2 linked regions of the Oryzias latipes genome follow. The main gene of each other region encodes a partner of the protein of the gene in region 2 in a complex. Links are inferred from orthologs where the notes say so. Each region holds a gene or a part of one and is shown on either strand. Other genes may lie near its edges. The genes, in order: dkc1 and tert.

Region 1 (4,520 bases), on a different chromosome or scaffold from region 2:
AATGTTAGGGTTTACGTCATTATCATTTGCTTACACGCCATTATCACCATATTATTGTCTCAGTTCCATATTTCAGAAAGAAAACAATGACCTGAAATGTTCTGATTACACAAGAATATGTTGTTCCTGATTAAATGACCCACATTCATGTCTGCAACCTTCAGTTTTCAATACAAAGAGGCTCCGTGCACAAAATGAAACCACTTCTTTGTTTCATTGTATTTCATGTATGTAACAATTCTCTTTTTGTTTGCAATAAAAAAAAAAAGAATTGAAATAGGATTTTACTCTGGAGGGTTTAAATGCAAGACCTTCCAGAACCTCAAGCCTCAGCCGTGTGTGCTTAAGGCAAGCTCTTACTGGATCATCAGGTCAGACTTACCCGGGCCAGAGCGTGCTGGTTCTCCACTGCATTGTGCAACCGGACGATCCCCACATACTCTTTACCTGCAACACAGAACAGTCAGGCTTCAACCAATCAACGGCTCCCAAATGGCTCGCAGCTAAAGGAACCAGTGCTTAGGTGAAGTGGGCCAATCACACAGTGCTGGCAGACTGAGGATCGCCCGGTGACAGAAGCAGATCCTTGTACTTTGACTCTGTAGCGGACCCATGGTCACATGGTGTCTGCAAAGACAGACGTCAGGCCAGCTGACTGCAGCAGCCAGGTGTGCGCGCACAAAAATATTCAGCAAACGTCCTGACGTGGACCAGGGCGGTCAGAGATGGCCTGCTGCTGAAATGACCCCCGTGCTTCCATATGCGTTACTAAAGCATCAGCAAAAGGTTTGATTTCGGATCATCAGTATCCGTTTTTTGTCTTTTCATTTATTAAAGCTAGAGTGTCCTTTTCCATCTTCATTGTCTGGACTAAAATTCACAGTTTTAGATAAAGCAAAAACTAAATAGAAACAGATTTGTGGGGGTCTGGTTTAGATCAGTACGGATGAAGTGGAGGGGGACATTGAAGAGAATGAAGAGTAGAAAAGCCTTTGGATCCTCAGCTCTAGTTCTGGATCAGACCCATCCCCTCTCAGGTCTTAGTGATTGTAATCTGCCAATCAGACCTGAAGCCCAAAACCCAGCCAGACACCCTCAGGACCCGTACCTGCACTCTGCTGCGATTTGACCAATCGTGTGGCACGGTCTATACACACAATCAGGCAGCCAGTGACCTTGGGATCCAGCGTCCCACTGTGTCCAGTTTTCTCCACTCGCAGAATCCTACGAATCCACGCAACCACCTCATGGGATGATGGGTTGGCTGGCTTGTCCAAATTGATGAAGCCAGACCTTAAGTAGAGGAGGCAGTGTCATTATGCAATCTGCGTCATAGCATTGACCCTACGCAACGTGAATGTACCTGACGTAATCTGCAATGTTCCTCTTCAGGGGGTTGCTGCCGTTGGGCAGGGGAGTGTAGTGGCCCGTCCGCACATTCAGCTTATCGAAGTTCTGCCAAAACAGGAAACAGTTTGAGGTCGATGTACCAACCGAAGCGAACACCTGGCGTTAAATCCTGAATTAGCTTTTTGTCTAAGGGAGAAACCAACCCCAGTACCAGGTTGCCCAAATATTCTCATGCCCTTTGACCCCATGCTGGTACTACTTTTTCGTAACATACTCTCCAAAAAGTAGCCATCTGAATCACTGCCGGATAGTGAAGCCTGGACCACATAGCCATTTTTTTGTTTGCTCACACATTTCCTGTTTCAAGGCGGCGTGTGATCAGAGCAGAGCATCATCTTGACAACAGTCTGGTCGCTTCCACCTCTACACGGTCACCTCCTATAACCTGGCAGAACGCCAGGTCACAGTTGGTGACCAGCAGAGACCAGGCCCCAAAGATGGAGACGGGCAAAGAAACGCCAAGACTGCAGTGCTCAGAGAATGGATAAACTGCTTCATCATGTCACACCAACATTGCCAACATGTCACATGACCCAGGCAGGGGTCGAGGTGGAGCTGACCTTGAGAAGGAGGGGCCATTGTGATGTGTTTAAAGATGTTGCCTTGGACTCTGGCTGGATGAAAAAGTCAGCACTCCTCTGGATCTCCTGGAAAACAAACAGTCAGCTCCAGCAGATCCATGAGATTACCTTTACTCCAGACAACATCACTCACCCCAACTTCTTCATCGCAGACTTTCTTCCCTTTCTTCTTTTTAACAGATGCTACTGCAGAAACACGGAACAGCAGATTAGTGGAGTGGCGTCCTAAGAACACCATTTACCTACTGTGAAGCATGGGGGTGGAAGCATCATGCTTTGGGGCTGCTTTACTGCTAAAGTCATCTCAATGGATCCTTAAAAATCTTGAATTCGTAGATTTTTGTCTCGAATCATCAACAAAATCTTTGACCGTTTTGGAGACCCCGCAGGTGGAAACGTTTGCACTGATCGTAAACCGGTTAGAACCGGTGCAGACATGAAACGGAGCCACGTTTTACTGCAGTTCGGCTCTGATCCGTTCGACCCAAAAACTGTCATATAATAAACTAGTCAGAACCTAATTGTGTTTCCCATTTTGATTGTGGCGCGCGCACATTTGAATCAAACAGGTGTTTGTTAAAAACTAACGACTTATTCCCAACGCACGTGGCGTTTCCTGCACGTCACGTGGACTGGAAGGACCACGCGGGGCGGGAATCCAAAGAAGCGCTCAACCCCTGAAGTAGCAGACCTCCAAAAGCGAACCGAATCTGACCCGGTTTATCGTGTAGGCCGCCCGGAGCAGGACGCACGTGGCGCGGTTCGGCCTGCTTTGGTGCGCGGCCTGCTCTGCAGAACGCGCCGCGCGTGCGATGGGAACTGCGTCAGTAACGCCGTGCGGGCGTGTTGATTTTGCATTAAGGGTAGCGGTTCTGATTCTGGCAAAACTTCAGAACCACGTGGGTCGCCCTTACCTTCAACCTCCGCCATCTTCTTCCAAGTGACTGCGTGCGAGCGTCCGCCTTCTTATTCTTTGGTCTACGAGCACCGGAAGACGATCGAGCCACATCCGGGGCGGGGCTAGAGAGCTTTTGGATTTCCTCTCATGTATTGGGATTACCGAAAAACTAGTTAACCAGGGTTTAGGCTCTTTATTCATCCAGAGTCTCGGGCACTGACAAACTCTCAGAAAAGGAATAAGACTTATAAAATAAGAAGGTTATTTCCCGAACTTCCAACCCAAAGAGACACTTAATGAATGTCATTTATGAAGATCTGTTTCTGAAGGAAACTGCTGTAGAAAATGTATGTTTTAATATCTTATTCTTCATTATGTTACAGCTTTATCTTTAGTGTGAAGTGAACTCATCAGGACTTATTCTCCAGTGACCTTCACTTGTGCTTTGTAGTTGCAGCAGCAACTAGGACTTCTTTGTGCAAATCTAGGAGTTTCCAGAGATGGAATAAATATGTCATGGACTACATTTCTACTATCTGGGTTGAACATCTTATCCTAGGGAAAGTGTTCAGATTCCTGTTCTCATGTGGAGGATGAAGCTGACCTCTGATCACGTGCCGGTGATGGAGTATCCGTTTGGCTGGTAGGATTTATTTGGACCAGATGAGGACTCTTGATCGTTGGATTGTGTGCGCCGGTGAAATAATAATAATAATAATAATGGATTAGATTTATCTGCGCTTTTCAAGACACCCAAAGCGTTTACATTGTGTCCATTATTCATTCACTCCTCATTCATACTTAGTGATGGTAGCTACGGTTGTAGCCACAGCCACAGACTGACAGAGGTGTGGCTGCCATTTCGCGCCTACGGCCCCTCTGACCATCACCGGGATCATTCATACACATCCACACACCAGTGGAGCCACACTGGAGGCAAGGAGGGTGAAGTGTCTTGCCCAAGGACACAACGACATTTTGGCTGGTGGGAGCGGGGATTGAACCGCCAACCCTTCGATCATTGGACGACCCGCTCAACCACCTGAGCCACTGTCGCCCCTTTGAAAGGCGAGCGGATCTGGAGTTGGCAACCTTCAGCTATTGGCCGGTGGAAGCACAAGGGATACCGGCTGACGAATCAGAGTGTTCCGGGGCGGAGATCCAGTGGTCATGATGTTTTCAGAAGGAGGAGTGTCAAACACATGTTTAAAAGACTGTTTTGGACGGACTTTACTGTTCTTAGGAAAATCTACGATTCGCATGTAATTCGCATGTAACTTGTGCGTCAGTAGGTCTTTACTTGAGAATCCAGATATATCTGCATTAATGTTTAATCTGTGCTCTAGAACTATTGTCAGGGAAATAAACTTCGTGTATTTTTAATCCGGTTGAATCCTTGTTTGCTTTACCACTCTCGTCTCGACTACTGAACATGCATGGATGGAAAGAACTGAAAAGCAAAGATTTCTTTCCTACACTGCTGAGACCAGAATGAAGTTTCCAAGCTCCATTTAATAATAATAATAATACATTACATTTAAAAGGGCCTTTCAAAACACCCAAGGACACTGTATAGGTTCAAAAGTAAAACACAGTAAAATCACAACATTCCTTCAGATTATGTAACATCT
Region 2 (3,818 bases):
TGAATAAAGAAATACTGACAAGTGCAATTTTGAGCTTAATCTACTCTATATACACTATTTTACCAAAAGTATTGGCTCATCCATCCAAATGATCAGGTGTCCTCATCACTTCTTCTGGTCACAGGTGTCTTACATTAAGCCCTCAGTCATGCAGACTCAGTTCATATGTAATCAAGGCAGGTGAGCGGATACTTTTGGTACTATAGTGTTTGTCCTCTGATCAGAAAAATGCTCCAAGAACATGTTAAAAACACCAACAGCACCCTCATCAGAGCATCAGAGTGAGTCTTTAATGATAGAACTTAATATGAAACATTAGAGGGTTAGACAATAAAAGTGTCATCTTTATTTTAATGAGCAGTTGAGTGAAGAATTTGGGACTAAATAGAATCCAGAATAGGAATGAAGACGTTGATGTTTTTTTCTTTATTTATTTATTTTCTGGAGCCCTTCCCTCCTGTGCGTCTTCACAGAATCGAACCTAAAACTTCAGGTCATCAGACAAATGGCGCCGCAGCTCGTCGTCTTACCTGCACGCCTGCAGCAGCACCAGCTTGTGGATGTTCTTGTAAGCAGACTCGAGGGAATTAGTCTGAGAAGAGAGTTTAGGGATTGATCAAAAGAACCTGGTCAGTGAAGAGAAGAGGACGGAGACTCGGCGTGTCTCCAACATCTGCTGCAGGGCAGGAGAAGCAGATGAACGGCGGTGGGATTTGGGCCTTTTCTATCACTAAGATGTTTGACCTCATTGTCTCTAGAAGATCTGAACAGGAACGATGTTCAGTTAGGATCCACCAGTTTCTCAGAAAGAACTCCAGAACATCTTCTTTTCGTCATCTGATGGAGGATTTTCAACCGTTTTTTTCCTCCTTTCATGTTTTTATGGAGAAAGTTCTCCTAATGGCTTCAGTCGGATTTTTACAAACGTTTCCATTGCTTTTAGAAACATCGGTAATACTTTATTGGCTGAAACAGAAGAACGTGACCTTCAGGCCTCTGGAAATCAGGCGGTTTCCTGACGTCATATGATGATACTGTTAGATTCACACTCGTCTGTTTACAATACAAAGCTGGAGTTTAGGAAATTATGATTTAAGGTTTAAAGTTTAGATTTCCCTCAACTTTGCAGTACAAAAGAGAGGAACATGTGTATTTAAATATTTAAACCAAACTCAACACAAGTTTTTGGATGCAGACCAACACATCTGAGCTATAAAGTATCAAACTCTTTCTTTGTTTCATTCTAGTCATTCGTTAGAACCAAAGCATCTTTTATCTACTAACCTTCAAGTCCAAAAACAGAGGGTGACATTTGATTCTGAGAATGGACATCAGCTTCCTCCTCATCTGCTGTCCTGCGGAGTGGGCGGAGCCTAGCGTGAGGCTGTAGCGCAGAGAGAGGCCTGCATAGCTGGGAGAGGTTTCAGTGATGGGAGTTAGGCTGAAGGTTGTGATGTTCCCGTGTTCGCTGCAGTCCCCTGGTTCAGGGTGGAGGCTTTTACCTGGAATAGTCTTTGCACACATCCAGCGAGCGGGTGTCCAGCAGAAGGCCGCACCACGGGAAGAGGCAGTGAGGAGGCAGCACGCGGATGTCGGGGAAAGCGCCGCCGCCCTCTGACCCCTGAAAGTTGACCACCACCTTTTGCGGGTTGGCCACCACGCCGTATTGAGGAACTCCAGCCAGCAAGATACTTCACACGAGAAAGGGTGGGGTCACAGTGAAGAGAAACCAAAGAGTTTCGTGTGTGAACTAAATGATTGATTTAGTTTATGCACAACGACTTCCTCTGCAGTCTGTTTACAGAGAAACCAGGAAGAGAGGAAGAAGACAGTAACATGTCTGCACGTGTGTGTGCACGTGTGTGTGCGCGTGTGTGTGCACGTGTGTGTGCGCGTGTGTGTGCGCGTGTGTGTGCACGTGTGTGTGCGCGTGTGTTTAAGTCAGGGGTGCTCATTACGTCGATCGACCAGTAGATCTTCAAGGACATGAGGGTAGATCAAAGGCCAGCAAAGATAAATAACCAAAAAAATAAAAATGTACTTCTAAAAAATCCACCAGCCAATCAAAATCCTTACAGAGAAGTACAGGACTTGATTGACATGCAGAACTGCCATTCGAACAACCTCTGATGCATACTTCACTGCACATGCGTGTTTAAATTTGCTGCCTGCTCCGTCCCCCCCCCCCTCTTCCGTGGCACGCGCTCCTCACGGATCAGCAGGCCTAAAAGCCACGCTCCCCCCATTGCATGGCTTACAACAGAGCATGACATACGATTGTCGCTGCTTTCTGTTTTTGTAATAAAACGCCTCAAATGTTAATACAAAAGTATCTTTGTGTAATCTCACTGTGTAGTTTTTTAATTATCAGTACATAAACAATGTTATGTACTGATAGTTCATACTATGTTTATTAAACAGTATTTAGTCTCAAAATACATATATACATTTATACACACACACATGCACGCGCGCGTGTGTAGGATTATGTATGTATGTGTGTCTCTCTGCATGTGTGTCTGCGTGTGTTTGTGTGAGTTTTAATGCATGTGTGTGTCTGTTTTTTCAGATGTGTGTGTTCATGCATGGGTGTGTCTGTGTGTGTTTATATGAGTGTTAACGCATGTGCGTGTCTGTGTGTGTTTGTTCAGATGTGTGTGTGTTGTACCTGAGGAAGGACTGTGCTTGGTTGCGGTCTGGGGTGATGAGGAGGAAGTCATCCACCAGCCTCATCAGACACCTGCAGGACAGAGGAAAAGCGTCAGAAGACTGCCCCCTTGTGTTGGTGATGTGTAACGACGTGTCCACAGAAACAGAGCCACCCTTTGTTTTTGATGTCTCTGAAGAGGACGTTCTCCATGTGGCCATAGCACAGACAGCACAGCAGAGAGGACACCACCGAGCCCTGAGGAATCCCTCGGCACTGACGGTACGTCCTGGACAAACAAATAATAATAATAATAATTGATACTTTATTTATCCCTCGATGGGGAAATTCTTCTCCACATTTTGACTCATCCCCGTGCTCGGGGGCCGACAGCTGGCTGGGGAGAGCGGGGATCGATCCGCCAACCCTTCAGTTGGTGGACGACCTGCTCGCCAGAGCTACTGCATCCATGTAGGAGATGAAGAACGTACTTCTTTCCATGCTGAACGACACTTCCTGTGAGCATCTGCGTGAAGAACTGCAAGGCGTCTTTGCCTCGAAGATTTGAGCCGAAAGCCTGTTTGAAGGAGAAGCCGTGAGAAGTAAAACAGTGAAATGTTGTAACGCCTGCATGAAAGGAACAACATGCAGACGGTCACGGTACCTGCTCCACCAGGACGGCGTGATGCACTTTGCTGCTCTTCTGCAGGGACATCACAAAGCCCTTCATGCTGGTGGATCCCATGCTACCGTCAGAGAAATCCACCTGAGTCGGAAACATCCCATCAATCTGTGTTTGCCACAATCACACGAGTTTAAACCCCAAAAACAATGTTCTGTACTGCAAATGCTGAGCATCAAAACAGGAAGCAAACATCTGGAAACAAACAGGATTTTTCTGTTTACGCTCCACTTCAAAGTCATTTCTCCAAGTTTCCTCTGGATCTGCACCTGTCTGGCGAAGGCTTTCTTCAGGCCTTCGTGGGAATCAGCCCAGATCTTAGCGTAGTGGCGGACGGTGAAGACTTCCTCTTGGACGGGTGACAAAGCCTCGGTGATCACCTCCTTGAGTTTGTCGTGCGGCAGACTGTCGTAGGCGCCGCTCACATCCACCTTCAGCCCAACCCACAGGTGAGCCCGTCAGAGACGGGTGGAGAAAGGAAAACATCGG

Evidence for each region.
Region 1: tert (region 2) and dkc1 share a complex: the UniProt entries of both Homo sapiens proteins name them as parts of the telomerase holoenzyme complex. The link is inferred for Oryzias latipes from reciprocal best matches to the Homo sapiens genes TERT and DKC1.

The regions. Positions count from the first base shown.
Region 1 is NC_019880.2:47,613-52,132, forward strand, and holds the start of dkc1 (H/ACA ribonucleoprotein complex subunit 4), read right to left. Parts: upstream 2,998-4,520; 5' UTR 2,922-2,997; coding exon 2,906-2,921; intron 2,178-2,905; coding exon 2,125-2,177; intron 2,058-2,124; coding exon 1,971-2,057; intron 1,456-1,970; coding exon 1,364-1,455; intron 1,294-1,363; coding exon 1,109-1,293; intron 448-1,108; coding exon 383-447; intron 1-382.
Region 2 is NC_019869.2:25,698,420-25,702,237, forward strand, and holds part of tert (telomerase reverse transcriptase), read right to left. Parts: intron 3,761-3,818; coding exon 3,599-3,760; intron 3,414-3,598; coding exon 3,312-3,413; intron 3,225-3,311; coding exon 3,139-3,224; intron 2,937-3,138; coding exon 2,823-2,936; intron 2,741-2,822; coding exon 2,669-2,740; intron 1,692-2,668; coding exon 1,503-1,691; intron 1,412-1,502; coding exon 1,285-1,411; intron 593-1,284; coding exon 531-592; intron 1-530. UniProt on the Homo sapiens protein: Telomerase is a ribonucleoprotein enzyme essential for the replication of chromosome termini in most eukaryotes. Active in progenitor and cancer cells. Inactive, or very low activity, in normal somatic cells.